Ovis aries: one gene and its partners. The protein of the gene in region 4 purifies or fractionates together with the protein of the main gene of each other region. This does not show direct contact. Links are inferred from orthologs where the notes say so. Each region holds a gene or a part of one and is shown on either strand. Other genes may lie near its edges.

Evidence for each region.
Region 1: the proteins of DERL1 (region 4) and RNF5 purify together in Homo sapiens (affinity purification with western blotting; 4 studies listed by BioGRID and IntAct, with this or other methods). This does not show direct contact. The link is inferred for Ovis aries from reciprocal best matches to the Homo sapiens genes DERL1 and RNF5.
Region 2: the proteins of DERL1 (region 4) and TMEM129 purify together in Homo sapiens (affinity purification with western blotting; 3 studies listed by BioGRID). This does not show direct contact. The link is inferred for Ovis aries from reciprocal best matches to the Homo sapiens genes DERL1 and TMEM129.
Region 3: the proteins of DERL1 (region 4) and FAF2 purify together in Homo sapiens (affinity purification with western blotting; 4 studies listed by BioGRID and IntAct, with this or other methods). This does not show direct contact. The link is inferred for Ovis aries from reciprocal best matches to the Homo sapiens genes DERL1 and FAF2.
Region 5: the proteins of DERL1 (region 4) and SERPINA1 purify together in Homo sapiens (affinity purification with western blotting; 4 studies listed by BioGRID). This does not show direct contact. The link is inferred for Ovis aries from reciprocal best matches to the Homo sapiens genes DERL1 and SERPINA1.
Region 6: the proteins of DERL1 (region 4) and AMFR purify together in Homo sapiens (affinity purification with western blotting; 4 studies listed by BioGRID, with this or other methods). This does not show direct contact. The link is inferred for Ovis aries from reciprocal best matches to the Homo sapiens genes DERL1 and AMFR.

Annotation. Positions count from the first base shown.
Region 1 is NC_056073.1:26,283,894-26,288,438, forward strand, and holds RNF5 (E3 ubiquitin-protein ligase RNF5), read right to left. Parts: upstream 2,801-4,545; 5' UTR 2,692-2,800; coding exon 2,552-2,691; intron 1,503-2,551; coding exon 1,484-1,502; intron 1,390-1,483; coding exon 1,277-1,389; intron 1,175-1,276; coding exon 1,120-1,174; intron 1,043-1,119; coding exon 925-1,042; intron 832-924; coding exon 734-831; 3' UTR 250-733; downstream 1-249. UniProt on the Homo sapiens protein: Membrane-bound E3 ubiquitin-protein ligase that mediates ubiquitination of target proteins. May function together with E2 ubiquitin-conjugating enzymes UBE2D1/UBCH5A and UBE2D2/UBC4.
Region 2 is NC_056059.1:117,519,978-117,524,819, forward strand, and holds the start of TMEM129 (E3 ubiquitin-protein ligase TM129), read left to right. Parts: upstream 1-1,879; 5' UTR 1,880-1,976; coding exon 1,977-2,181; intron 2,182-3,533; coding exon 3,534-4,008; intron 4,009-4,486; coding exon 4,487-4,646; intron 4,647-4,776; coding exon 4,777-4,842. Other genes in the region: TACC3 (transforming acidic coiled-coil-containing protein 3), read right to left, coding at 164-267.
Region 3 is NC_056058.1:35,705,310-35,709,584, forward strand, and holds the end of FAF2 (FAS-associated factor 2), read left to right. Parts: intron 1-370; coding exon 371-553; 3' UTR 554-3,553; downstream 3,554-4,275. UniProt on the Homo sapiens protein: Plays an important role in endoplasmic reticulum-associated degradation (ERAD) that mediates ubiquitin-dependent degradation of misfolded endoplasmic reticulum proteins.
Region 4 is NC_056062.1:29,742,060-29,746,864, forward strand, and holds the start of DERL1 (derlin-1), read left to right. Parts: upstream 1-1,678; 5' UTR 1,679-1,898; coding exon 1,899-2,051; exon of another isoform or gene 2,052-2,095; intron 2,096-2,195; exon of another isoform or gene 2,196-2,371; intron 2,372-4,805. UniProt on the Homo sapiens protein: Functional component of endoplasmic reticulum-associated degradation (ERAD) for misfolded lumenal proteins. Forms homotetramers which encircle a large channel traversing the endoplasmic reticulum (ER) membrane.
Region 5 is NC_056071.1:56,847,701-56,852,335, forward strand, and holds the start of SERPINA1 (alpha-1-antiproteinase), read right to left. Parts: upstream 2,942-4,635; 5' UTR 2,851-2,941; intron 624-2,850; exon of another isoform or gene 555-623; intron 1-554.
Region 6 is NC_056067.1:23,748,225-23,752,331, forward strand, and holds the end of AMFR (E3 ubiquitin-protein ligase AMFR), read left to right. Parts: intron 1-882; coding exon 883-1,067; intron 1,068-1,888; coding exon 1,889-2,036; 3' UTR 2,037-3,521; downstream 3,522-4,107. UniProt on the Homo sapiens protein: E3 ubiquitin-protein ligase that mediates the polyubiquitination of lysine and cysteine residues on target proteins, such as CD3D, CYP3A4, CFTR, INSIG1, SOAT2/ACAT2 and APOB for proteasomal degradation.

The DNA of each region.
Region 1 (4,545 bases), on a different chromosome or scaffold from region 4:
CTTTTCTTTTCCCAGTCTGTTCCGGCCCCAGCCCAGTTCTCCTCTGTATAATCTTCAGCCCACCTCCCGCCAGCTTTCTTCCACAACCAGAGCCTCCCACAGAAAGTGATGAGTAAACACCTGCCACATTTGCTGTGTGTGTTGTGTGATGCCCTCTCCCCCATGCTTCCCCACACCACACCAATATCTGCTCAAGTTGGGGAGAAGATGCTCCTGTCTTGAAAGGAAGGAGGGACGGACAAACGTAGGCAGAGTGAATACATCTCATCATGTTTATTGAATTTATCATAAAGGAGGTAGTGAGGGGAGGGAAGCACTTGAGAGTCAGGACCCACATTAGACACTGGGGAGAGAAAAATTAAATTAAATCAAGGGGAACATGGGAGAAGAGTCAGAGGGAGCCTTGCCCACCTTTCAACATCAAATCAAGAAATATGGTGGAAAGCAAAGGATCGGGAGAGACGAGAGACAGACACTGTCTTTAGTCCATCCTCCTCTCCCAGAGCTGGGAGTTATGACGCTACTGAGGGAGCAGTCCAGAGCACAGGTTCTCCTATCCTATGCACAGATGTCACTCCTTCTCCACACATCCTTGTGGAAAGTGGCCAGGGTTGGCCTTAGCCAACAGAAATGAAGGGCTTGGGTGGGGAGGGTCCAGGAGTAAGGAAGGGTCAGCAGGGACCCCCAATACTGATTCTCCTCTGGCTGGTGGTGGGCAGGAAGGAGACATGGCTCAAATACTGAGCAGCCAGAAAAAGAAGAAGATGGCGAGAAACAGGAAGAGGGAGTCCTGCCAGCTGGAGGCCGGGTGACCCTGTCCCAGATCCACACCTGTGGGAGAGAAGAGAGCTGTGAAAGAAGCATCCACTCATAGGCCAGGGGATTCAGAGGACTTGCTGGTAGCAGTTGAGGGCAGACTCTTACCTGTACCCCGACGGAACGGTTCATGGGTATTGAAGACGGTGGTGAAAAAGCCAAAGGGAAAAGCACCGACACCAAATGAGAAGTGAAAGCCCCCAGTATCACCAAATGGCTGGAATCCCTAGGGAGGCGGAGAAGGTCAGTGGGAAACTGGGCGAGTCTTTGGCAAGGAAGGAACACAAATCAGACAAGACTCACCCCTCTGCTCTCTGGAGCGGGTCGCTGGCCCTGTGGGCGGGGTGGGGTTTTCAATCTGAGGAAGAGGAGAGGGACTATCAATATTCCCTCCTCTTCTACACCCCACTCCCCAGAAAGAAGTGTCCACTTTCTTTCAGTACCACCTCCCCTCTCTTACCTGGGATCCTGGGGCTTCTGGCTCCCTCGCCCATAGAGAGGGACAACGTTTTCTCTGCTGATCCCAGCTTTGCACACTGGGCACTCTTGCCTCTCTGGCCGTGTCTCCAACCACTGGGGGAAAAAAATGTGGTTTCCAGTACACAGAAGGGTTCTTCCAGCTCCTCAGACCTCCCCATTTCCCTCTTCATCTCCTCTGAGTACGCACCTGATGAAGACAGGGCCAACTGCAAGGGGGAAAACAAAGGTCAAACCAGTTGAAACCAAACACAAAAGAGATACCTACCCAACCTCAGAGTCCCACCTCGCTGTTACCAGGTATTACCTGCTGTTTCTTTTCATATTTTCCACAACTCCTACCATGCCAGCCAATTTGGCCATCCTGCTTCTCTAACCTTCCAAAGCTACATCTATTCTCAACAGGCTCAACCCTCACCTCTCTCCTCTTCCCTACCGCAATCCCCACACCCCATACATATACAAATCCTCACCCCTTCCTTCTCTGCTTTTCAATTTAATTTCCAGTTTTCTTCAACCACCCCTTTGCAGGCTCCTTTCAGCCCTCCTCTCATTCTTGCCGCCATCACTCCCCAACCAAACCCCCTTTACCAGCACCTACCTTCTCCCATTACTCCTTTTCCTATCTCCTATGCTCAATAAAGACCTTACTTCCACAATTCCTTAATCTTTGGGGGCTGCTACTCCACCGTGCTCTTGTCCGGAGGTTTCTCATACCACCCCTTGACACAGCTCACCTGAATGTGATCCCTCGTTCTCTAGATCTCCCCTAACCTTGCAGTCTAATCCGTTCCCAACTGTACAGCTGCTGCTGCTGCGTCGCTTCAGTCGTGTCCGACTCTGTGCGACCCCATAGATGGCAGCCCACTAGGCTCCCCTGTCCCTGGGATGGATTCTCCAGGCAAGAATACCGGAGTCGGTTGCCATTTCCTCCTCCAATGTACAGCTAAGTAAGACCCCTCAATTTCCAGAGGTTAAGGTGGCTCGGGTCTCACCTGCACAGATGTGCGGTACCCACCTCCTGCGCCCCATTTCTTAACATACTAGTTGGAGCCTAGTTCCTACGACTTTCCACGGGTCTCCTCTATACAGACGTGACCCTCTCACCCACACATACCCAAAAAGACGCAAGAAGCCCCCTCAGGCCTCACCTATGAAAATGTGCCCTCTGGTTGCCCGTATGACTGTGGCACCCCCACCCCAACCTCCCCAGTATAGATGTGAGCCCCAGTTATTTTTGCCCCTCTCAGATTCTCACCAGTACAGGTGGCCACACACACTGACCACAGCTTCCCGAGCAGTCTCCAAACATATATTACATTCGAAGGTCGCGCCCGCCCCGCCCCGCTCGCGGTTTGGCCCTTCGGGGCCCCCGTCCTCCTCCTCCGCTGCTGCCATGGCCGGTACTCTTTCGTCCCCCGCGTACCCCTTAGTCCCCCGAAACACACATACAGACGCCCCGAGAAACGAGAAACCTCCTCCGGCCCACGGTCTTTGGGCAGGCTTCAAAGTTTTCTAATCACTATTGGCCTGAGTGCCTGCCAATCATACAGAATCGGAAGGAAGGATTGGTCCAAAAGGCGGGGGCGGAAAGATGATCACGTGGCTCCGCCCTTGTACAATGACTATTGGCTGACACAGTCACAGTTAGTCGGCAATGCCACGGGATTGGTAACAACTCCATACGTCCTGTCACCCAGCTAGGGCGGGCTTTATTCGTCTGAGTAACTGCCAGTCATAACCAAAGGCCAGAAGCAATTGGCTCAAGACTGCTTAGACCTCGCCCACTACAAGACCCAGTCTTTCTTTTACTTCCTCTTTCAGAGAATATCCAGATTCCTATTGGACTTTGGAGCGTTTGGCTCCGAAGCAACTGATTGGCTACACCTCGACAGAAAATGGTAGCTAGGTAAAGTGCGCGAGCGCATCAGGCAGGGACGGGGTGGGCCAATCCTATGAGGATTGAGCCTTCTCTGGTCCCACCCCTTCACCTCTATACTGTCGCCATGGTGACTGCTCCACAATTGGCGGGGTTTGGGGTTCAAAGGCCTCGGCTCGTCCTCATCCGGGTCCTCCGACTGAGGTCTCTCTCGACTGATTGGACCCCTTTTTTCGCTCCTGATTGGCCGAGATCGGGAAAGACGGCGACGAGCTCGGAAAAGAGGACAAATACTAGGGTCGCAGGGTTCAAAATGGCTTCGGCCTCCTTCGGTGACGTAGAGAGCAGAACTTGGGTCCGCCCCTCCCTCTTAGTGAAGAAGGGAGCAGGACTAGGATTAGCCCGACGTTTGGATGGTGCGAACGTCGATCTGCAGCGCTGGTGTTAACCCATCTCCCTCGGCTGGACGACTCAGCCCGCCCCTCTTTAGGTGATTTACAGAGCAGAACTGAACTGAAGACCCATCCCCTTTTTAACGTGGCACATAGTAGAACGAGTTGACCTCGACTCCGTTTTAAATCTTAAAAGCAGAAAAGGCCTAGCCCCCCTCCCTTTGTGAGTGGGTGCAAGAGGCAAGGCCCGCCCCCTTTTAGGCGACCCGCCCCTTCTTTCTCCTGTGCCCGGCAGAACTGGGGTCTTCCTCCTGGGCTGGACCCCTGGGACTTAGGCAGGCTGCTTCAGAGCGTGGGCCTTTCGCACAAGTTTGGGCCTCTTCTACAGTCAGTGGCCCTCACTGAAGCCCAAGGAGCAGAACTAGGTAACAGTCCTGGAGTTACCGGTGTTCTTTACATCCTTTTCAGGGCAAAGGTGACTGGGGGCTGGAGGCCAGACACAAGCTGAGGGTTCTTCAACAACATCCTGATAAAAAGGCCCCACGTGACTCAAGTGAGGAAAGATGAGAAATTAGGAGTCGCCTATGGCAGAGGAGGTTAAGGTTCAGGCGACGTGTAGAGGTTTAGGGAAAAGGTCATTGAGAGGGAGAAGAGGAGACCCAATAGGAGTGGAGAGTGATGGGATGATCCTGACAAGGGGATGATGGGAGTATGGTGGAGAGAGAGCTAGGTACATGACTACAAAATTAAGGAGGCATGCTCATCCCAGAGGAAACAGCATTCTTCCTCACTTTTTCAAGAAATTAAGCCTAATGTCCAATTTCCATTGGGAAAAAAGCATACATCTTTTCTATATTGCAGAGACGGGTAGTCTCAGCGTGGGTGAGTAAGGAGACTATACGAAGGAAGAAAGTAAGGTACAGCCTACAGGGACAAGGGCCTGAGAGTGTCCCTTCTCCCCAAAGACCAGGATGGGGGGCG
Region 2 (4,842 bases), on a different chromosome or scaffold from region 4:
ACAGATAAGGGCTGATCTGTGATGAAACTGAAGCGGCAGAGGAAGCCTGGGCCCCTCCATCAAGAGGAGCAGCCTCCCAGTTCGTGGACAGAAATGCAATAGGGCCCAGCAGCATGGCCGAGGAGGAGGTGGAGAAGGCAGCAGGCAGCAGGTGTGGAGTCACCTGTGGGGAGCTGAGTGTCTCCACCAGGGGCCTCCAATCAGGCCCAGGGGTTCCAGGGGAGTCTCATTCCTCCTTCCCGAGGCCCTCACGATGGTCAGTGGCATGGCACTCCCAACTGAGGAGTCACCAGAGGACTGGGCATTTGCCTCGTGGGGGCACTACAGGTACTCGCTGGCGGTGGGGACCCTGGGGACTGTGGTTGAGGAGGCCAGGTGGCTGAGGCACGGGAGAAAGGGTGGCTTTTAAAAGAGGGGAGGTCAGGGTGACAGGCCACCTCGAAGGGCTTGGGGGTAGGGGCTGCCTGTGGACGACAGGAGGGGTAGGAGGGAAGCGGGGAGGGGGGTGGGGGGTGGGGTCAGAGGCTCTGGCACTGGGCCAGGGGGCGTGGTCAGTCCCTCTTGGCATCGGGCTCACACACTGCGTCCGGAGACGGGAAAGATGAGCCTGAGCTAGGGGCCACTCACTCTTGAGGTTTAGCCTGAACACCTGGGTAAACAGGGGAGGGGGGCTGGATGGCTGCAGGACACAGGACGGAGAGCAGACAGGACGCCTTTTTGGCAGACCTCCTCCTTGCCCTGGGGAAAGTGGGAGAACAATGACTGCAGCCTTCCGGAGTTTGGCTTCTGCTAATGACGAGGGCTTCTGCTCAAGAGGAGGGGTCTTTTGAGAAGAGGAGGGCTGGCCGGGGAGGCGGGGAGGGACTGGCGACCTAGGGTGAGGGGGGTCTGCCGAATCAGGTGCGGCAGGAGTCGGCGATGGGTCCGGGTGGGGCTGGACCCAGAGGGGCGGGGATCGGGAGGCCAGCGCTGGGCGCAGGGCAGCGAGCGCGCGTGGACTCAGGCTCGGAATCACCGGGCGTCCCGGGAGGCGGGGGTGGGAGCCCATCTGCTCTGCTCCCGGTTGCGGCCGGGCCGGCGGAGTGAGGGACGGCGGGAGAACGGCCCAGACCGCGAGGAGGGCGGAGCCGGAGGCGGCATAGGCCCCGGTCTGGGGCGGGGAGGTCGCCAGCGCGGCAGGCAGACCCAGGCCGACAAAGCCCCAAGCCCCGGCAAGAGGCAGGACCGGAGCCCCGAGCCGGGCCCCCGCCGTCGCCCCCTTACCTGTCGGCCGCCGCGCGGAGCCCAGGGTGGGAGGTGCCGAGTTCCGGAGCCCCTCTGCCCGCCGCCGATTCAAATACCGACGGTTGGCGAGCGCGGCCAATCAGCGCGTGGCTGGGGCGGGGCGCGGGGCGCCGACAGCCAATGGGAGGCAGAACGCCAGCCCACGCCCACTAGGAGGTTTCGTTTCCGGGGCGAGGGCACGCTGGGCGCGGCGGTCGCCGGATTCCTCAGTAAAGGCGGTTCTCCTGACGCGCCTAGAGGGGAGGCCGCACGCGGGTGGACGGTGACTGCGGAGCCCGCCGTCTCCCAGGAATCCCGGGCTTTGGTGCGGACGCGCCTGAGCTGCGCGGAAATTAGGGCCCGAGAGCCTCTCCCCCGAGTCTCAGTTTCCCCAGCTGGCCAATGGGATCGAGTGCAGCGCCGCCCCCAAGCGGGTCGTGGGGGAAGAGCCAAACCCTCGCGAGAACTGTAGGGGCGGCTCGCGATGTGTGGGGGGGCGGGTGTCGAACGAGGGGCTCGAGAACTTCATTTCCCAAAATACTCCGCGGGACTCCATCTCCCAGAGCGCCCCGCGAGTGCCCCGAGGGCAGGGACTCCGTTTCCCAGAGCGCCCCGCGCCGCCGGGCGCCTACCGGACCCGGACGCTGTGGCCGGTTCGCTACGCTGGGTGGCGGGCCTCGCCGGGCCGGTTTCCCGGCGGCGACGGCGGCGCGATGGACAGCCCTGAGGTCACCTTCACGCTGGCCTACCTGGTGTTCGCCGTGTGCTTCGTGTTCACCCCGACCGAGTTCCACTCGGCCGGGCTCACGGTGCAGAACCTGCTGTCCGGCTGGCTGGGCAGCGAAGACGCCGCCTTCGTGCCCTATCACCTGCGCCGCACGGCCGCCACGCTGCTGTGCCACTCGCTGCTGCCCCTCGGTGAGCCGGGCGCCGACCTCCGGAACCCGGAGCGGGAGGGACGGGGGGCGGGGTCCCGTGCTGGAGAGCCGAGGCTGCGAGGGGAGCGCCCGTGTGCTCGGGGAAGTGCTGCCCCTTGCAGGTACCCGGCGGAGAGGCGAGCTCAGAACCCTGGGGAAGGGGGTGCTCTGCTCACTGGGGCAAGTGGTGAGCTGGCTCTCGGCGGACAGGTCAGGTATGAGTTAACTGATGCCCCTAGGGGTGGCCTGTTCCAATCTCTTTGGAAGGTGGGTGCGGGAAAGGCAGGCAGAGAGGGTGACGGCAGTCGAGTGTCATTTCCGCCTCCAGTAGATCTTCCTGACCCAGGGATCGAACCCGCATCTCCTGCATTGGCAGGCAGGATCTTTGCCACTGAACACTAGGGAAGGCCCCCACCCTCACCCCTACCCTTTAAAAAATATATAATTTTATTCACGGGTGTGCTGGGTCTTCGTTGTTGCCCGAGGTCTTTCTCTAGTCGCGTGGGAGATACTCTGTTGCAAGCCTTAAAGCGCGCAGATTCCAGTAGTTGTGGCACCGGGCTTAGCTGCTCTGCAGCATGTGGGATCTTCCGGGCCCAGAAATCAAACCCTTGTCCTCCGCGTTGGCAGGCCGATTCTTAACCGCTGCACGGCCTGGGAAGTCCTAGAGAAGCCCTTTTGGAACTTCAGAGAAGTGTTGTTTATTGCCACATGAGTTACTTATCATGTATCAGTTTGATCAATAGCATTTATTACTATTTTTGCAACTTCAAACCCTTCCTGCAGGTCAGTATCCACGTTATTAACTTTGATATGCAAATTGGCCCCCATCTGGCCACCAGGGGCCTGGAGCTGGCTCCCATGTCCCTTGCTCTTGTCACTGTTTGTTTACTGTCTGGTCCACGACGTCCCGGTTCTGGGATGGGCCATACTCTGGTCTGCTTCCTCAGAGTAGCTGGGACCCAGAGGCTGAGATCCAGTCCCAAGACGGCCTGTGGGCAGCTCTGCATTGGGTGACACCATATCCTTGTGCTTATTTTTGCTTTTCTAGGATTTTCTCATTTTATTTCCTCTACTCATATGTGGTTTTACAAAGCTAAAGTAGTAAGATGAGAATGTTTTCTGCTCACTGGACAGGTACTCAGTTGAGTCAGCTATGGAGCTGGACAAGGCCCACCTGCCCTGGGGTACCACGGCCTTGCCCTGGGAGCTGACCGTGGCAGAGAGCCAGATCCAAGGCTGGGGATTAAAGGAAGAGGCCTCCCCCAGTCCCACCAAGGGATAGGGTCAGTACTGGGGAGGCTGGCAGCCGGGCAGTCCCAACCTCTGCTGAAGCTTGCCCGTCCCTTTTAGGCTACTATGTGGGCATGTGCTTTGCAGCCTCGGAAAAGCAGCTCTACTACCCCAGCCAGACCCCGGAGACCTGGCGGGCCTTCCTCCTGCTAGCGTTGATGCTGCCCACCATCACCTGCACCCTGATCTACTACTGGTCCCGGGACCGGTGGGCCCGCCACCCCCTGGCCCGCACCCTGGCCCTCTATGCCCTCCCACGGTCGGGCTGGCGGGCTGTGGCTTCCTCCGTGAACACGGAGTTCCGGCGGATTGACAAGTTTGCCACCGGGGTGCCGGGTGCCCGTGTGATCGTGACGGACACATGGGTGATGAAGGTGACCACGTACCGCGTGCACGTGGCCCAGCAGCAGGACGTGCACCTGACCCTGATGGAGTCCCAGCAGCACGACCTCTCCCCAGACTCACATCTGCCCGTGCAGCTGCTCACCATCCGCGTGGCCAGCGCCAACCCTGCCGTGCAGGCCTTCGACATCCGGTATGCGGGCCTGCGGCTGGGGCCGCTGGGGTGGTGCACCCTTGGTCGCTCTTGGTGTTGCTCAGGGGCCGGGGTGGGTGGGAGCTGGTCCTTCTGGAGTGCCCCTCCCTCAGGTCCTTTGCGTTTCCTCTTTCTTCCCAGCCTGCTCTGAGCTGTCTTCCCGGCGCCTCGGCGGGAGCACACAGGGGGTGTCTGGGGGCCACTGTATGGGACAGATGCTGGGTGGCTCCCTCAGCCCTGAGCCTGGGCCGGGGCCGAGGTGCTCCTGTCTAGTTAAGGCTGTGGCAGGCCTGCCCGCCCCTCCTGGACCCGTCTTGGGCCTGAACCTGCCGAGGGCCAGGCCCTCTGCTACAGTTCTCCCACCCTCCGGGCCCCTCCGCATGTCCCAAGGAGAGGCCCATGGGCAGCACTGGGCCAGTGGGCTCTGGACCCACGGCCATCTCTAGTGGGCCCCGCCCAGCAGCGTCCACCTCTACAGGCTGAACTCCACGGAGTACGGCGAGCTGTGTGAGAAGCTCCGGGCGCCCATCCGCAGCGTGGCCAACGTGGTCATCCACCAGAGCCTGGGCGACCTCTTCCTGGAGACCTTCGCCTCCCTGGTGGAGGTCAACCCGGCCTACTCGGTCCCCAGCAGCCAGGTAGGGGGCTGGGCAGGGGAGGTGGGTTCCCACAGCCGGGCCGCCGTGGACCGCCTCTCCTGGGGTAGGGCAGGACCCCCGTCCCCAGGCAGCCCGGCCGAGCCCCCTCTGACCGCCGGCCTGCCCGCAGGACCTGGAGGCCTGCATCGGCTGCATGCAGGCCCGCGCCAGCGTGAAGCTGGTGAAGCGCTGCCAG
Region 3 (4,275 bases), on a different chromosome or scaffold from region 4:
AATGGCAACCCACTCCAGTATTCTTGTCTGGGAAATACCATGCACAGAGGAGCCTGGCGAGTGACAGTCCATGGGGTTGCACCGGCTAGGACTTAACCAACTCAACAACAGCAGGGTTTGTTGTTTATATCAGACCAGTTTTCAGAGAAAAAGATATATCAATTCATAGCAGGACTGGGTAACAAATCTCTTAAAAAGAGCTTCCCTGCATGTTTGCTCTGTGAAATGGATGGATTTTGAAATGAAATTTCACTGTAATGCGGTAATTTTGTATCTCCAAGTCATCCTGGAGAAAGCTATATTTGATTTCATAGTTGGGGTGTGTGTGTGTGTGTTTTCTCACTGCCCTTTTTCTCTGTGACCTCTGCAGGTAATCCACGACTTCTTATTCTCCTTGAAAGAAAGCCCTGAAAAGTTTCAGATTGAAGCCAATTTTCCCCGAAGGGTGCTGCCCTGCCTCCCTTCAGAGGAGTGGCCCAACCCCCCAACGCTGCAGGAGGCCGGACTCAGCCACACAGAAGTTCTCTTTGTTCAGGACCTAACAGACGAATGACACTTTTTCTTCCTCTTCTCTCCCACCCCAATCCCCAAAAGAAATGGAAAAAAAAAAACACACAAAAATAAGAGAGATTGATATTATTATTATTATAATACAATATTTTTTTTAAAGACTGCTGCGTCCTAAGGAAGGATCAGAAACCATGCTGCCTGCAAGAGTCACCACCTGTGTGCGCACGCGAGGTTAGCAATGAACGTTCCCGCTGGCAAGCCCACCCTTCCCTACTCCCTCTTGCACCATACACCTTCCAATGAAAGGAGACTCTGCCTCCAACCCAGCCGTTGTCCCAACTGGGGAAGGGGACATTCCCACTAGATCTCATGCATTCTTGCTTTTATGGAAAATAAAAGTGAAAACCTTCATCAAACAGCTACTGCAGCATCTCCTGAGGACTCGCTTCTCCCACCTCCAGAGAAGAGGGGAGAGAAGGCACAGAGCGGAGAGATGTTCCTCAACTTCCTACAGTTCATGAATAATTTTAATTTTTTTTCTGTTGCTTTGTAATGACCAAAGGAATGAGGCTGACATAGATGTATTTGTTTTCCTTAACATTATTTGATAAGGAGCCAGTTTTTAAACCCATGAATCCTTGCCCTGGGCTCCTTAGCCCACAAGAGTGTAATAAAGGTGCCCTGGGCTGGTTTATGCTTATTTCTGCCATTGTCCCTCTCACGTTCCCAGAGAGGTGGTTCTTTTTGGTCCAACTCTTGCTGTCCTTTCTTGCCACCTATGCACCCCGCTTGGGGCAATGGGAGGAAGTCCAGGTTTGTACCCCTGCAAAGGTGGTGTATGTACCAATAGACCCGTATATATGGTATGAACTCCATGTAGATTTACCTATACATAAAACTGCAGCTTTTCCTTGGAATCTGGATCAGTGGTCATTATGGGGTCTGAACCAAAGGATGGCAGTTCATTCCTGTTCTGACATGTGCATGCTCTTTCTGCCCAGCCCTGAGCCTTCCTGAATTGCCAAGCTTGGTGCCTTTCCAAAGGACTAACAGGGCCTGTGATGCAGCCAACAGAACCATGTGAGAGGACCTTGCCTATCTCCTTAGGAATTGGCGGTAGTGGTGGTTTAAGGATTGAAAGAACCATAGGCTTGAAGGAAGTCAAGACAGAACTCAGCCTGTGTAAATTTTTGGAAGGCACAGTTAGTTCAGTTTTTGATGTAGCCGCCTGCTGTGGAGACAAGTTTTTATCCTCTCTATTGCTGTTGAAGTAGTAGGGGTTTTTAGCCTCTGGATGTCTTGTCTGTGGTTGAGTTTATGGTAATGGGTACATGGGTCAGGCCATGTATTAGCATGAGCTGACAAGTATTCCAAGGTGTTCTGTGGTAGACTGGTGTAGACCCAACACTGCAACCTACTGAAGTTACCACAGTTGCCTAGCATTTGGTGAGGCCAGGGGCTCATACCAAGGTCAGGCACAAGTTGCTGGATTTGCAGTCTCCAGAGGCTTATCTCCTGCTTAGCTAAACCTGAGGGCCATCCTTTTAGGTTGCACTGACATGGCTGCTATTTGCTGCTGCCCTCAGTGGTTGGGGTAAACACCACCAAGGGCAGGTGGGGAGCCCCGTAGGTGTCACCTGAGGACCTTGAGAATTTCGCAGTGGCCTTGGCACAAGTGTCAACAGCACAATCTCCAGGAAAATGTAACCCCGCTCCTGCTTCTGTCATCCTTCCACTTTGTTTCCTGCCATCCCATGACCAGATGAGTGGGAGATTGCTGGCTGTTGGCATAAAATGTTATCTGAAGTGAATTCCGGGATAAACCATGTTCTCCAGGCCACCTTATGTGAGAAGTTTGCTTCTTGCTGACAAGCACGCAAAGAGGAATTTTTTCAGTTAACTCAGAACCAACCTGCCTGCCTAGAATTTGCATTTCCCTGGCAGGACCTTTGCCAGGCTGGATGTACCAAGTCTGCTCAATAGTTCGATCTGCATCTCATTCTACAGTGTGCACCCTGTGCCTCTTGCCTTTTGCTAACCTGACCAGTGAAGGAGGTCCAGTGCCAGAGTATTGAAGTCTATTTGTGTCAGTACAACTCTCAGGATGGCCTGTCAATTTGCTTTGTTTTGCTTTTGTCATTTTTTTTTTTTTTTTTTTTTTTTTTTTACCGCTGCTTTACTCAGAGCAGTTCCTGTCTTCTTGCTGATCGAGACCTGCCACTCATCCCACTCCTTTGCTCCATGAAAGGTGCACATTTTGTCAATGCCGGTACAATCTGTATGTTATTCCCAAGGACCTCTGGGAACATGATGGGACCTTCAAGCAAGAAAACAGAGAAGCTGGTGATCCACAAGCATTTGCTCTTGTTTCCAAATCGCCTGATTATTTCAGCTGTTTTCAAATGCCAAGTCATCAGCTAAACAAAAACACTTGTTTCCAGTTTTGTTCTGCATTTCCAAGACTGAAGTAGTAGATTCAACTGAATTTCCGTAGGAAGTGACCAAGCAAAGATACCCAATTGGAGTCAGTTGAATTTCTGTAGCCTCAGTTTTTTCTTCAACACCTGCAGAATTTCCTGCAGCAAATACTTCTTTGTCCTTGCTTTCACTATAACGTTTGGATAAAAAATGGCCAATGGAGAATACTTCTTTAAAAAAGAAAGACTATAAACAAGCTAAAAAGAACCTAGAATCTTCAACTGAACAGTCATTATGAACACTGCAAATGGTGCCAAGGCCAAGGAAAAAGTTACGGAAAATGACTGTGGGAAGGAGTGATAACCCCCAGAACGCAGTCAGGGGAGTATTAATCTGGTGCTTGAACAAGGAGCTCCACTTTAGAACTGGTTTTGTTTTTTTTTTTTTAAGGACTTGCGAGAGACGCAGCAACAAGAAATCCATCCCCCAAGGATGCAGTGTCCAACTTGTACTGCACCTGAATAAGTTACATGACAATTTACTGAGGAAATCTAGTGTACTTTAAATTTTTTTCATAAAAGTTTACATTGTATTGTAGGTTAACATTAAATGTTTTATAACAAAATTTTCATACCAAGTTGTGGGTCTTTCTGTCTGGGGGAGATGTGGTTCTGTCTGAAGGCAAGGTTGGAAAACATCAGGGAAGGGAATATTGCCAAGAAGAGAGGGTCAAAAAGAAGCAGGGAGTCAAAACAGACCTATGATGTGTTCCTGTGAAAATGGCAGCTCAGGAGTGAATAGAAAGCTGGCGGATCTGTGTGCAGATTGTGGTCTGTCACTTGTCAGTCTTGTGAGCCTCTGTCTCGGGTCCCCTGAGCTTTAGTTTCACCCAAATGTAAATGAAGTTAATACCATCTGCCTCAGGATGGGCTTGCAGATAAAATCAAGTAAATGGAGGGGGGGAAAAACTATATATATAAAGCACCTGATGCAGGTGTCGTTTGTTCCCCTTTCTCTGAGGAAGTGTATTTTGAAGGTATATTTTCTGGTGTTAATAATGATTAGTTTATTAAGGAATGTCATTTCTCCTGCCTGTACAGACCTATGTTCTTGCAAATGAGTGGCTAGAGAAGAGTCACTTTGGATCTAACAGATTCTTGACTTTTAGAACTACCCTCCTAGTCTGTTTTTGCTCTTATTTTTATTTCTGAGGAGATTTAAGCCTCAGTTCTTTGCCTCTTTCCTACTACCTGTCCTGGGCAAAAAACTCATTTCTATAAGTTTTTGTCACCTGCAGAGTCTGCCCTGTTGCTTACCCAAAGATACATATATGTATTTTTTAACCCA
Region 4 (4,805 bases):
TCTTGAAGCTGGGCATGTAAGGGGCTTGTAGGGTCTGCAGGGTGCACCCCAGCAATCCTACATCTGAAAACAACCAGAAAACATCTACTCTGCATCCTTTGATATATTCCTTTAAAAGCCTGATGGATTTTCATCTACTTGTAATTTAAGTCCTACCCAGCAAACTAGATTGAGTCTTGATCATTTCTGCTTTCAGTTCCTTCAACAATCCGAGCCAGTTGGAGCTGTTGACTGAAGAAAAACTGCATAACCTAAAAGTCATGAGTTAGGTTTTATTTGAGGAATTTACTTCCCAGGTAGTGCGAGTGGTAAAGAACCTGCTTGCCACTGCAGAAGACACAAGAGACACAGGTTCAATCCCTGGGTCAGGAAGATCTCCTGGAGAAGGAAATGGCAACCCACTCCAGTATTCTGGCCTGGGAAACCCCATGGACAGAGGAGCCTGGCGGGGCTACAGTCTGTGGGGGTCGCAGAAGAGTTGGACACAACTCAGTGACTAAACAACAACATAGCTCTGAAGAACTGCTCCGAAGAGGCAAGGGAGAAGTCAGGATGTATAGGAGGTTTTGCTGAAACAAAGCACATAGTCAAATATGAAAAGATTAGTACTAATCACAAAAACCAGACATCTCAAGTTAATGGTTTAGTGATTTCTGATTTACGGGAAGATGCAAGAATCTGGCTCATTGAAATTATACCTTAGGTATGCATCTTAACTATTTAGAGCCAGTATCCTGCTTTCCTCCTGGGCGCCCACTATCTGGGTGCTGCAGTGGCTGATGGCTTGATGGCAGGCAATAGTCACTGTTTACTGAAATGGAAGTCAACATTCTTTGTTTACTGACATGGCAGGGAACATTTTTATGTGTGTGCAAACTGGCTATTTTCTCTGCCTGGAAAACTCCTCAGAGTTTTGCTTGGGGGGGCGGGGCTCAGCTCAAGGGTCACCTCCTGCAAGTTCTCTTTGACTATTTTCATCTAGAGTGGCCATCTCTCAGGAACTTCTCCAGTTGTCCAGTGGTTAAGACTCAGTCTTTCATTTCAGGAGGTTCAGGTTCAGTCCTTGGTTGGGAAACTAAGATCGTATATGCTGCAGAGTGCGACCAAAACTTAATAAAATCTGAAAAAAAATATTTTAAAAGTGGCCATCTCTCCCCACACTTCTGCACTCCGGCCCTGCCACTCTAGCCCCCAATATCCTAATTTATTTTCCTTATTTTTCTTATCACTCGCTTGCAATTATCTTATTCAATTATTTGCTCATTATCTCCCTATCTTGGTTAGTATGTAAGCTCCAGGGGAGAAGGTACAACAGCTCTGATTATTGCATCACCTCCAGGGTTTAGAACCCTATTTGGCACTTAGCAAGCCCTCAACAAACTTTTGTCCCAAACAATGAACCAATGAGCAGCTACGTGGTAGTTTAATCTCCTCCTTCTCCTTTAAATACTAGCCAAGTAGACCCACCTGGATTATAAATCCGCAGGACTAGGTAGAGGGCGTTCAGTCTCGCCATTGGCCGGAATATTTGTCGTTGCTGCTGGCAACCACTGTTCCCCACCAGTCGTGTTGTCGGCCCGGCCCGGCCCCGCCCCTCTCCGCCCCGCCTCCGAGACGCCAAGCTTCTACCCAGTGGTGAAAAAGTATGCTTGCCCTTTAAGCGGCGGGGCTTCTGGTCAACTTCGTCGGCGGCCGCCGGAAGGGGAAGTTTCGCCGCCGAGCTCTCCCTTGCTGGTCCGAATTCGGTGGCGCCACGTCCGCCGGTCCCCGCCTTCTGCACCGGGGGCTGGGGCGGCTTCCGCCTGGACATTTTCCACTCGCAGAGTAGGCCGCGTCGTGAGGGGGCCGGGACGGGGAGTCGGGCGGCTGCGCGCATCCCGGCCACCAAAGAGGCGAAGATGTCGGACATCGGGGACTGGTTTAGGAGCATCCCGACCATCACGCGCTATTGGTTCGCCGCCACCGTCGCGGTGCCCTTAGTCGGCAAACTCGGTCTCATCAGCCCGGCCTATTTCTTCCTCTGGCCCGAAGCCTTCCTCTATCGCTTTCAGGTACTGACCGACGACGGGGCAAGTGGCGCCTACAGACCCCAAGTGGCCCCGCCGCGGCGGAGCGTAGACTGGCCGGTTGCGGACGCGCGGTGCCTGATGGGATTTGTAGTGCAGAGGCTCCCGCGGTTTAGGGCGGGGTCCTTTGGTCCGGGAGTCGGGTGGACTGACGGGTGGACTGCTTTGCCAAAGCGTCCGAGCGTGGGCCTGGATTGCTGGAGACACGGAGGCTCCAGGGTTTGGCCCGGTGGGAAGGGACTGATTTTGTCCTGTTAAGATTGTGCTCCCCGCCCTCTGGGCTCCGAGAAGGCGCCACTGGGAAGGTAAGACTGATAAGTTGTCGATCTGTGGGACGCCAGTGAATGGCAGGCTGGGGCCACCTGGAGCACCTGCCCTCCGACCTCGCTCTGCCATCCACGTGGGTGGCATGTGGACGTCGCCTTGCTCAACCACCAGCCGAGTTCTTTTTATGTTAATGAAGTTTCTTCCCAGCAGGAGTGATTTGAAAGTCTGAGGTGCAAAGAGTGAGTCTGTTTGTGTGTCTCCCAAGTCCTTAGTATCTGGCAGGTCGTAGTTGAATTTATGAAGGACCGAGTAAAGAGTAAATTGCTCCAGAAATGGATTTTTTTTTTTTAAGCATTAAGGAAACAGTCCAGGGTAATATTCCTAGTAAGCGAATATTAGTTTTCTGGAGGTTTATCTTTATTCACCGGATTCTGTGATTTAAATCTTTAATCAGTGCAGGTCGGATACTAAGATCTGACATTAATTTCAACACATTTTTTGGACTGTGGGTAACGCTGTCTTGTCTTCTCTCTCTTCGCTGGCTATTTCTTAGTTTTCTTTGCTGGTTCCTCATCTTCCTGATCTTTAAATACTGTGGTGTACCCCAGGCCCTCTTTTCTGTATTCTCCCTAGCTGCGGGTGATCGCGTTTAGTTCATGGCTTTAAGTCATTTCTACAAGCTGAAGTTTCTCAAATACAAATATACCTACTTTCAGTCCAGATCTGTCTCAGTTCCAGACTTGTACGCCCAACCATATACTTGAAATGACTACTTAGATGACTAACAGACATCACACACTTAATGTGTCCAGCACTGTACCCTTTCCCCTAGGAGTAAATAGCAACTCCATTTTTATAGGAGCTCAAGCTAATAGTCATGGAGTCATCTTTGACTTCTCTCACATCCCAGTCTGTTAGCAAATTCTGTTTACTTTAGACAAATATCCAGAATGCAGTCCCTTTTTATTCTCTGTTGCAAGCCATTTTCATACCAGCCTGGTTCCTTTCAGTCTTAACTCCAGACAGTTAGAGTGATCCTTTTAAAACATAAATCCATGTCCTGTCAGTCTTCTGCCCAGATCCTTTTAATGTCTTCTCAACTGATTGAGTAAAGTTCAAGTCTTTTGGCCTGCAAGGCTTCCTACTGCCTCTCTGAGCGCATCTCCTCCTACTCTTCACCTTGTACATTAGGTTCCACAGTGGGATCTTTCCTGTTTCTTCAGCACCTAACGCCATCCCTCCTCAGGACATTTGCACATGATGTTTCTCTGCTTGAGTACGGTAAACATAGTTTACCTCTTTACCTCCTTCAACTCTGCCCAAATGCCACCTTATTGGCATTTATGATTGCCCTAAAACAGTGCCTCTCCTTCAGTCTGTCTCCCTTCCTGATAGTTTTTCTTGCTGCATATCACCCCTTGGTGTCCGTCAGCCTGCTTCCCTTCAGAGAATAAAACTCCACAAGCACCGCTTGTCTTGTGTACCAGTCTGTTACCTGGATCCGTGTTTGGCACATAGCAAGTGCTTACTTATTGGTTGAATGCATGGAACCAGTGCTGGGCACTAGGGGTACAACAGTGAACAGGAAGAAAATAAGAGAGGCATGCGATGGTGACTTTGATAGAGTATTCTAGAAAGGCGTCAGAGAGTATATTTGAACTGAAATCTGAAAGATGAGCCAGTTTTGGGAAGATGTGGCTCTGGAGACAATCTTTGCAAGAAGAAGAAAGAATAAGTGAAAGACTTAGAGGCAGGAATTAGAATCAGGAAGAAGACTGAATGGTTAGTGCAGAGTCAGTGGGAGGGATGAGGATTAGTAGGGAGGACAGAGAGATAGCCGGGGGTAAGTACAATAAAGCAAAGATGGAAAAGTAGGCTGGGGCTTTGTGGTTGAACTTTAATTTGAAGGCACTAGAAAGGCAGAGCCTTTAGAGCCTTTTGACTGAAATATTCTCTTGGCTACTCTTTATGGGGTGAGGGGAGGCCCTGGTGGCTCAACAGTAAAGAATCTGCCTGCAATGCAGGATTCGATCCCTGCATCAGGAAAATTGCCTGGAGAAGGAAGTGGCATCCCACTCCAGTATTCTTGCCAGGAAAATCCCATGGACAAAGGAGCCTCGCAGGCTATAGTCCCTGGGGTCACAAGAGAGTCAGACACAACTTAGCGACTAAACAACTCTGTGGGATGGACTTGGTGTTGTGAATGGTGGCAAGGGAGGGCTAGGTAATGGGACCAGCGAGGTAAGTCAAGTTAGAATGCAAGAAAGATGGTGATTTGGATCAGGGTGTCTCAGAGATAGAAGTGGATAGGTTTGGAGTTGGAGTGGGCAAGATTGCAGCCTCATGGATGCAAAGGGTGAATGGGTGAAGAAGCAGGTCTCGAAGAGGTCACTGTTTTCACAGGAGCAACTGAGTCGCTGGTGGAGCCCTTTTCTGAGATTGGGAATGTTTAGGGAGGCCGAGTTTTGGGGG
Region 5 (4,635 bases), on a different chromosome or scaffold from region 4:
CGGTAACTCCAGGCTAAGACCTGGTACGGTTCTGTTCTGGGCACTTCTGCAGAGAATGGAGGCAGCTGAAACTCAGAGCTTCCCGTCCGACCTGGCTTCCCTACCAGGTTGCTCTGTGAGCCTGGACTACTCACTGTCCCTCCCTGAGCCTTATCGTTCTCATCTGTAGAAGCGAGAAAAGATACACACCCAAGCAAATGCAGAGGCGGCGAGACCTACAGAAGACACCGACGGGACAAGACCTACAGAAGACCACCGACGGGAAAGATACAGGAGCTGCGCCAGCAGAAACATACTCCCTCCTAGGTCGCTGGATGCCAAAGCCAGCCCCCACCCCCTCACTTCCACTTCTGCTCGCAGAGGGCCCCTTTAGTCACCAGGAGGAATTGGGGAGGCCCTGGATAGGCTTGGGAAGCAGGAAAGGACCCCTGGGCTGCTGTTACTATGACAGCAGATGGCCTGGCCCCAGCCTGCTCCATCCTCCTTGCATCCCCAAGGCTTGCCTGGGGAGCGCAGGGTCCTGGAGGCCCCTGGCCAGTGGAAGGCATACTTACGATTCACTGTCCCAGGTCAGGGCTGCTGACTGAGGCTGAGGAGACAGAGCCCTGTCCTTGCCCCTATTTAACCACTGGACCCAGAAGGGCGAAGGGGGAGGCTGCTGGTAAACATTAACCAAGGTCACCCCAGTTATCAGAGGAACAAACAAGGACTAAGTCCATCGGCTGGACACTGGACTGCCTGCTCACGTTGTCCAGCGGTGCTCCTTCTGGGCGGCACGCAGCCCTGTGCTCCATATCCCTGAGAGAGTCTTTGTGCCCAGCTCATAAACCACAGCATCCTGCATCCAAGCTGGGGTGGCATTGATGCCGACATTCTAGGGGATGGCATGATTTTGCTGGCCTGCAATCCACTGGGGAGCTCTCAGTTGCTGCTTCATCAGTAGCAAGAGCTACCACTGATGGAGCCACCTTGAAATGCCCAATGCTCACTGCTGGGATTTCCCTGGTAGTCCAGTGGTTAAGAATTTGCCTGCCAGTGCAGGGGACATAGGTTCGATCCCTGGTCAGGGGAGATTCCGTATGCTGTGGGGCAACTATCCCATACAGTGACTGCTGGAGCCTGTGCCCTAGAGACCGTGGCCCGTAACCAGAGAAGCCGCTGCGATGGGCAGGCCGTGCACCACAACTAGAGTAGCCCCTTTGCCACAGCAAGAGGAAGCAGCAGCGAAGAGCCAGCATAGCCAAAAAAAAATTAAAAAACAAACAAACAAAAGGCCCACTGCTGAAGATGCAAGGGGTAGAGAATGTTATGAGCTCAGCTGGCAGATAGAGAAACTGGTCATCTACCTCAAGTCACCAAGCAGACACAAAACCGCTCTCGCCTTCCCTGGAAAGAAAATGGGTCCTGACTGCAGTTGACACAGCTACCTAAGGCTGATATGGGTGGCATGGGCACAGGCCCAGGGTCAGAGAGTAAATCTATAGAGGGTTGTGTGGCCTCAGGCAAGCTGGTCCATCTCTCTGAAACATGGGGTAGTTTCATTTGCATCCTAAGGCCTTGGAAGTCCCACTTCCAGCTCATTGCCAGGGATGTGGAACTCACTTATGTAAAGCACTGGGCACATACTAGGCTCTTGATTTTGATCTGCACAGCCCTCTGCTCACACCTGCTCACCAAGCTTCTCCAGGTGGGAGGAGGTGCAATTCCTGGCCAGCCTCAGGCCTGTTTCTGTTTCCGCTGGATCTGGCTTCCGGCCAGCTAACTCGACCCACAGGCTGCCTGAATTTTCCTGGGACCTGTGGCTCCATCCAGGAGCTACGGCTGGCTTTTGGGGGCACTGGTGGTGGCCAGGGTGGTAGTGTGGGATTGAGGCCAGTGGGGCCCTACTGGGGTGGTGCATGTAGTTTGATGCCAGTCGCCTTGGGCTTTTCAGTGGGTTAGAGTCCATTTAGAAGCCTGAGGCAGTTGGCATCATGCTGTGTGCACCGCCCTACACACCCTTGGCACGCCATGTACACTCGGTATTTGTTGAGCCAGTGGACAAGTGTGTCTTTGTCCTCCGCTCATCCCCTGGCCCCAGCTATGGGACTGTGCCTGGCGAATAGCCTGTAGGTTCCTCTACTACACAGGTTTAGACCAGGGAACCCAGCATCCCCACTCACTGGCTGTGAGATCTCAGGTGAGTCATTTAATCGCTTCATGCCTGTTTCCCCATCTGTAAAATGGGGATGTGACAGTTTGTACCTCGCTGGGCTGCTGTGAGGATTAAATGCAGCAGTTTCAGAGCTCAGAGCCCAGCGTCGGGAGCACATGGTGAGCCCTGTGCCCATGGGTCTCCCTGCTGTGATTCTAGGTGGGTGGTCTGGGGATGAGGGGAACATTCCAGGAGCTTCCCTCCAGGCTTCCCTTACTCAGTCCTCTCAGTGTCCCTGTGAGGAGAGTGTGTACCACACACCCCCCCAATATAGGAGCAGAAATGAGTCCAGGGAGGGAAGGACTCTCCGCTCCTATCTCTCCAGACTTTCCGATTCCACAAGCTAGCTTCAGAACACTGACTCTTTCTCCTGAGCTGGCTGAAGGAGTTTCTTACCCAGGGCTCTGCACCTACCCGTAGCTTGAAGACCTAGGGTGTGATGAAACAAGGCTTGCCCTCCGTACCTCCTGGACATTTGTTCCCCTCCCCGTGCCTCAGTTTCCCCATCTGTAAAATGGCCTCCCTCCATGCCTGGCTGCCCCTTTCAGCTCTCTCACTGAGTGGGTGTAGGCAAGTGTCCAGGCTGTTGCCACGCTTAGTGCCTCTCAGCCTGGTGTTCTGGGGCAGGTAGGAAGGTGCCCCCCTATCCCCCTTACCTTCAATGCCAGGTTCTTGTGGCAGAAGGAACTCCTCCTCCCCTGGGGCTCCTGGAGGCAGTGTGTGCCCTAAGCGTGGCGTCCAGGCTCTGCCAGCGCAGGAGGAAGGAGCTTCTGGGTGGTTCAGGCAGCAGGTCTGGGAGGGGTGGGGACCCTGGGCAGGAAGCTGCCTTGCACAAAGCTGCCAGGAGCCAGGCAGATGCCAGAAAACCCTTTCCAGCCCAGGCGGTAGTCTTGTGTGTCACCTGTTGTCCCTGCTGTGTCTGGCTGTGTGACCCAGGATGAATCACCCAGTGCCTTTGAGCTTCTGTAAGCGGGCTGGTAGCACCTGGCAGAGCAGATTAAAGGGCATGACAGGCGTCTCCTTTTGGCCCAGAGCCGGGCATCAGCGTTTTGGCAGGTTTTCAGGGCCACCTGTGGAGGGAGGCAGCCTAAGCCACCTCTGAAATGCACAAGGGGAGCCCCACAGAGACTGAGATGGGCTGTGTTTATTGGGGAGGGTGTGTTACAGACGCTGGCTGCAGGAAGAAGGGATGTAAGATCTTAGGGGGGACTGGGGCACTTGGAGGAGGAGTGAAGAAAGGATGTGAGGCAGGGCTGGGGAGAAAGTGAGGGGCTCTGGGTTGGGACCTGTTCCTTTTGAGTCCAGGGCTCCATGCTCAGCCCTTCCTCGTCTCCCCATCCTCCCACTGCCCACTTCTGTAGTATTTCACACTGCAGAGAGCTCCTCTGGACGTGCATCCTGGGAAGGAGCGGTGGGATGATCCGGGAAATTGGGCAAGCACAGAATGCCTGGGGTGGGTCCACCCAGGGGCCATTCTCCAATCACAAATCAGAAGCCAAGCTGGAGAAAGTTCTGTCCACTTGGTTACTTCTGGAACTATTGATTGTTGTATCCAGACTGATTCTCTGGGAGTGAGTGTATCCTAGAAAGATGCTGTGCGCTGGCTGTGAATTGGCGGTGTCGGGGAGACCCTGTCCCCCCATAATCCTGCCTAGATATGGGAGAGGGATGGAAATAAAGATGAAGTGTGAAGTCTGCAGCAGGAAGGGAGTGAGGGGAGGCGTATAGACCAAGTAGATGAAGGACCAGAGGCCCTGCTTGGTCCAGAGAGTGAGGGAGGACTTCAGGGATGCTACATCTGTTGGCAGTTTCCCAGAGAGTGTGGGACCTAGCCTACACTGACTGCCCCAGGCACACACACAGACACATCAATGTACCCCCGATACTCACTATGGGAGCCCCCTTCCAGGCACCAGCTCCCTTCTTCAGGGGGCACTGTGGCTTAGTGGCTCAGGCATGGGCTGGGGGGCTGAGCATCTGGATTTAAGCCTTCACTCCACAACTATCTGATGAGATCTTAGCTAATTAACCTCTTTGCACCCCCATTTCCTCTTCTGTGAGTTGGGGAATAAGAATGACCACTTATACCAGGACTGTGAAGAGCCAGTGTGATGATAACACACAAGACAGTCTCAGGCACAGATGGGCCCTAAGTCAACGCCAAACATGTTTTATCTTTGATATTCTGAGCCCGGAAAACCTCAGATGAATCCCAGGATCTGAGCAGGAGAAAGATTTGGAGGGAGGGGCTAGTGCATTTGCCCAGAGACACCTCTTCAGATTCAAGCTTCTGGCTAAAGGCCACCAATCCCCTCTCCTGGGGGCTGGGCTCATTTTGCTTCCTTAGGTCAGAGGGCCATGGGCAGTTACATCTTTCTGAGCACCTGTGAGGGACCGAGGACCAAGTTGGGTGAGGGGTGGTTGGAGGCAGGGGAACCTGG
Region 6 (4,107 bases), on a different chromosome or scaffold from region 4:
AGGACCCATGTCTCCTCCCCAGAGCGCACACAGTGGTGCCTTAGAGTTGGCGCACCTTACAGTTGTTCCCGTCAAAGCCTTTTTAAAATCTGCTGCAAGCCGGTTTCTTCCTGCTAGGTCTCTCAGGTGTGTGAGAGTCATCACCGGCCCCCATGTCCCCCGACGTCTAGGGCGTGTAAGTCAGGCCCCGGGATTCTCTTGACGTTCCTCCCTTGCTCATCTGAGAAGCCAGAGAAGCGCTCCCACCAGAAACTCTTTAAAACAGGCTTCTCAGCCACTTGCTCCTCAACTCTGTCTTTGCCTTGGGCTGATGCTGGCCAGCCTGGGTCTGGAAGCACGAGCAACACAGACGGCCCCTAACCGAGCCTGCGAAGGGCCTTGGGCATTGTCTTGGCCTTCACAGCTGCATCTATAATGGAGAGAGCCCCATTATTACATCTTGTGACTCAAGCACAGTATCTCATGTCTGTTTTAAAAAAGATACTAAGAATATACCCTTCTTATCTGCCTAGCTGTTTTCAGAGTCAAATGAGGGTATAAAATTTGTGCAGTACATGTGGTAAGACTTGCTGAAGTTTTAGAGCCATAAGTAGTGGTGAACAGAAAATTCCCAGAATGCAAATTAGTAGTTGTGTGTCTTCTGACAGTACAGTTTCGAGGTGCTTCTGTTTTCCATATGGTAATCCTTCACTTACTCCCCAGTGTTGAACATGCCGTGGTGAGTCAGGCCCTGCCCATCAGGAACCCTTGTCTGCTGACATGTGTTTGTCGGTCCCTGCCTGGCAGCCTGTCTCCTTTGGGGTCTAGAAGAGCATCACGAGGGGCTCTGGTCAGGTGGGGAACTGGACTGCTCATAGCAACCCCTTGCTTCCTTGTGTCCAGACCGAGCGGGTGCCGCTGGACCTCAGTCCTCGGCTGGAGGAGGCGCTGGACTTTGGCGAGCTGGAGGTGGAGCCCAGTGAGGGGGAGGACTTTGAGGCCCGGGGCAGCCGCTTCTCCAAGTCCGCGGACGAGAGGCAGCGCATGCTGGTGCAACGCAAGGATGACCTCCTGCAGCAGGCGCGGAGGTAAGCGGGCCCGCAGTGCCATTGCAGGGCACCTCCCATCCAGTCCCGGGACCTGAGCGTCCTAGCCATAGATGCCAGCGTTGGAGCATTAGCACCTGTCACCTGCAGTTTCCAGTTTCAAATCTCTGCTGAGAAGCCAGAGGATCTGGTAATACTGGGCCACCCGATAACCTCTGGCCAGCGCTGCCAGCGTCCCCTGTGGGCGCTTTAACCCACACTCCCGTGCTTAGTACTTCTGTGCCAACGTGTTCTAGACCCTTTATGTTAACTACTTTCTCATTCTCTTAACTCTAAGAGAGAGCACGGTGATTATCCCCATTAAACAGACTTGAAGCTGAAGAAACCAAGGCCTCGAGGGCCTCATGCCGGCCTGGTGCCCAGCTCCCGAGTCCTCCGTCCTGGCCACTCTGCACGGCCAGCATTGGAGCACGGCTACATCCCCGCAAGCCCCAGCCCCGGGTGGGGGCAGCCAGAGGGAGAATGTTCTCTTGACTTGGCAGGCACTGGGTAGTTAAACATTTGGTGACAGGGCTGGTGTGTTGTTCCCGTGGGTGGGCTTGGTGCCCAGCGCCAGCCTGGTGAGTAGGGACTTCATGCTGTGTGTGTGCAGGGGGTGGAGGAGAGGGAGGGGCTAAGCAGCCTCCGCTGCAGAGACCTTCCGCCCCTCCGTTCAGGGCTGGGTGTCTGGTTTACGGGGTGGTGCTGAGTGACTTCGTGGCCGTGCCGGGGAGGGGGAAATTACGGAAGCACATAGTGTGTGTCTGTGTGCCTGCCTTCCAGAGCTGCCCGGGTCCCTCACTTGCACCTTTGGTTTTTGGTAGGCGTTTCTTGAACAGAAGCTCTGAAGATGACTCGGCCTCAGAGAGCTGCCTCCCCTCAGAAGGGACGGCCTCTGACCCTGTGGCCCTGCGTCGAAGGATGCTGGCCGCTGCGGCCGAGCGGAGGCTTCAGAAGCAGCAGGCCTCCTAGCGCTTCCTTGCCGTCCGCGCCGCCTCCGCCCGAGCCGCGTGCCCGGCCTGCTGAAGAGGCCTGTCCCCAGTTGCGCCCGCTGTGTGAAGAAGCGGGCTTGACTGCATCGCCGCTGTATAAAGCATGTGGTCTTAATAGTGTTTGGACAGCTGACAGATTTAATCCTTTTTTGTAATACTTTCTATGTGACATTTTTCTTCCCTTAGAAACACTGCACATTTTAACTCTAGGCATGATCTCTTCTGCATTGACTGGACTTTGGACGGGTGGGGAGGATCAAGAGGAGGTGGGCAACCAAAGACCTGAAGCAGGCAACGTCCATACCTGCCTTATGCAGAAGTCATAACAGATGCCAGTGTCTTTAGCTCCAAATGTGGCAGGAAGTGTGTGTGCAGCAGATGGGGGTTGGAGGCAGGGGGATCCATACAAAGCAGCGTGGAGATGGACAGACAGAGCCTGACTCCACACCACTGGGTAATTTCTGTTGTCCAGCTGCTGTTCTTAGTGAGGAGGCATTCAGAATGTCACAGAGTGAGGCCAGAGCTACAGGCTTCTGGACCCCTGGGCTGGCGGGGCCTCATGGAAAAACCGTGTTTGGTTTGATACCTGGAGCAGAGCAAGGGAAAGCCCAGGGATGTGGTGTGAGGAGGTGACAGTTGTGTCCCAGGACATGCGGGACTTTCCGAGCCCCCTGTCCAGAGCTGGCTTTACTTCCGTTAATGCTGGTGCTCCTCCATCTATGAGTATGCCCCGCGTGTCCATCCTCTCCTCTCTGTATTTCATTGTCCCCTGCCCACCTGCCCCCAGACATGGGGAAGGTCAGCACTGACAGGGTTAAGCAGCAAGCTTTGGTTCGTGGTTTTAATTCCTTGGTAAAGTCAATTAGGCAATGCCAAAGGCTGTGGGTTTGGTCTTTGGGGATGGGAGAGTACTCCTTGGAGGGCTTCATTGAAGAAACAAATGATACCTTTTGTAGCTTTCTTCCCTGGAGCCCTTCATTTTCATAACTGTGTTGGTTAAAAGGTGAGGTGTTGCCTCCACCTGCCTTGGAGCAGACCCAGATCTGAACTTTTTCAAATCCTTGACAAATTTCACTTGAAGGGTTTGAAACACGCAATCATAGCTTACATAGTTCAGTTTTATGTCCTACTGGATTAAGTTTTCTTTTTTTTTTAATGTTTGAAAGCATAGTTTTATGGTAGTCCTTTTGGGAAGAATCCAGTATTACCTAAAATTGGCAAAGTTAAATGTATTTTACATAACAAAGTTTTTAGGATGTTGAGAAGTAACTGAAAATAGAGCGATGAGTACGTGTTTAGGCTGAGATAATTTATTTCAATAAATCTTCCGAAAGCCTTATCTTGAAATGCTGTTAGTAAATTTCTGTGATTTTTTTTCTTTTAAAATTTGTTTTGCTGAGAGCATAGCTATTTGTTTTTACTGTAAAACAACAACAAGAATAATAATAATAAAAAGCAAACTGTCCTAGTGTGGTGTTGTGTGTGGCTTGGAGCTAAGGCAGTTTTCTTCAGAAGTGCAGAAATTAGATTGTGTTTTGATATTGTGTATTCTGTTTTGGTTGGTGGGGTTTTCTTTATAATTTTGTGTGTGTGTGTGTGATGTGCACCTTTAAAGATGATACCAATTCCGTGTGTTCTTATGTTTCAGATGTGTGAAAGAATGTTTTGGAGTCAATTTTAGAGGGTCCTGAGACAGTGGAATACAGCAGTATGACAGTGATCACAGGAGAGACATGCCTTTAAAACGACCCCAAAGAGAGATCCTAAATTCGCCCTTAGACTTTACTCCTGCATAGCAAAGGATTCTGTGCACTTACTGTCTCTTGGCTTCTGTCACTTCCTGGGGATATCTGGGACAGACTAAAGGCAAGGGTAGGATGCCAGGCCAGCCCCCCACCGCCATGGGGTGGCCCCCGCCCCCAGCCCCTTGGCCGTGCCAGCTTCTCCAGCATGCTTTGCTGAGGAGGCCAGGCCGTTGGTTCAGGTCTGTAAACCGAGGGCGTCTGGGTGCTCTGAATGGTGGTGGAGGGGCCCTTGCGCTCTCTGGGCTC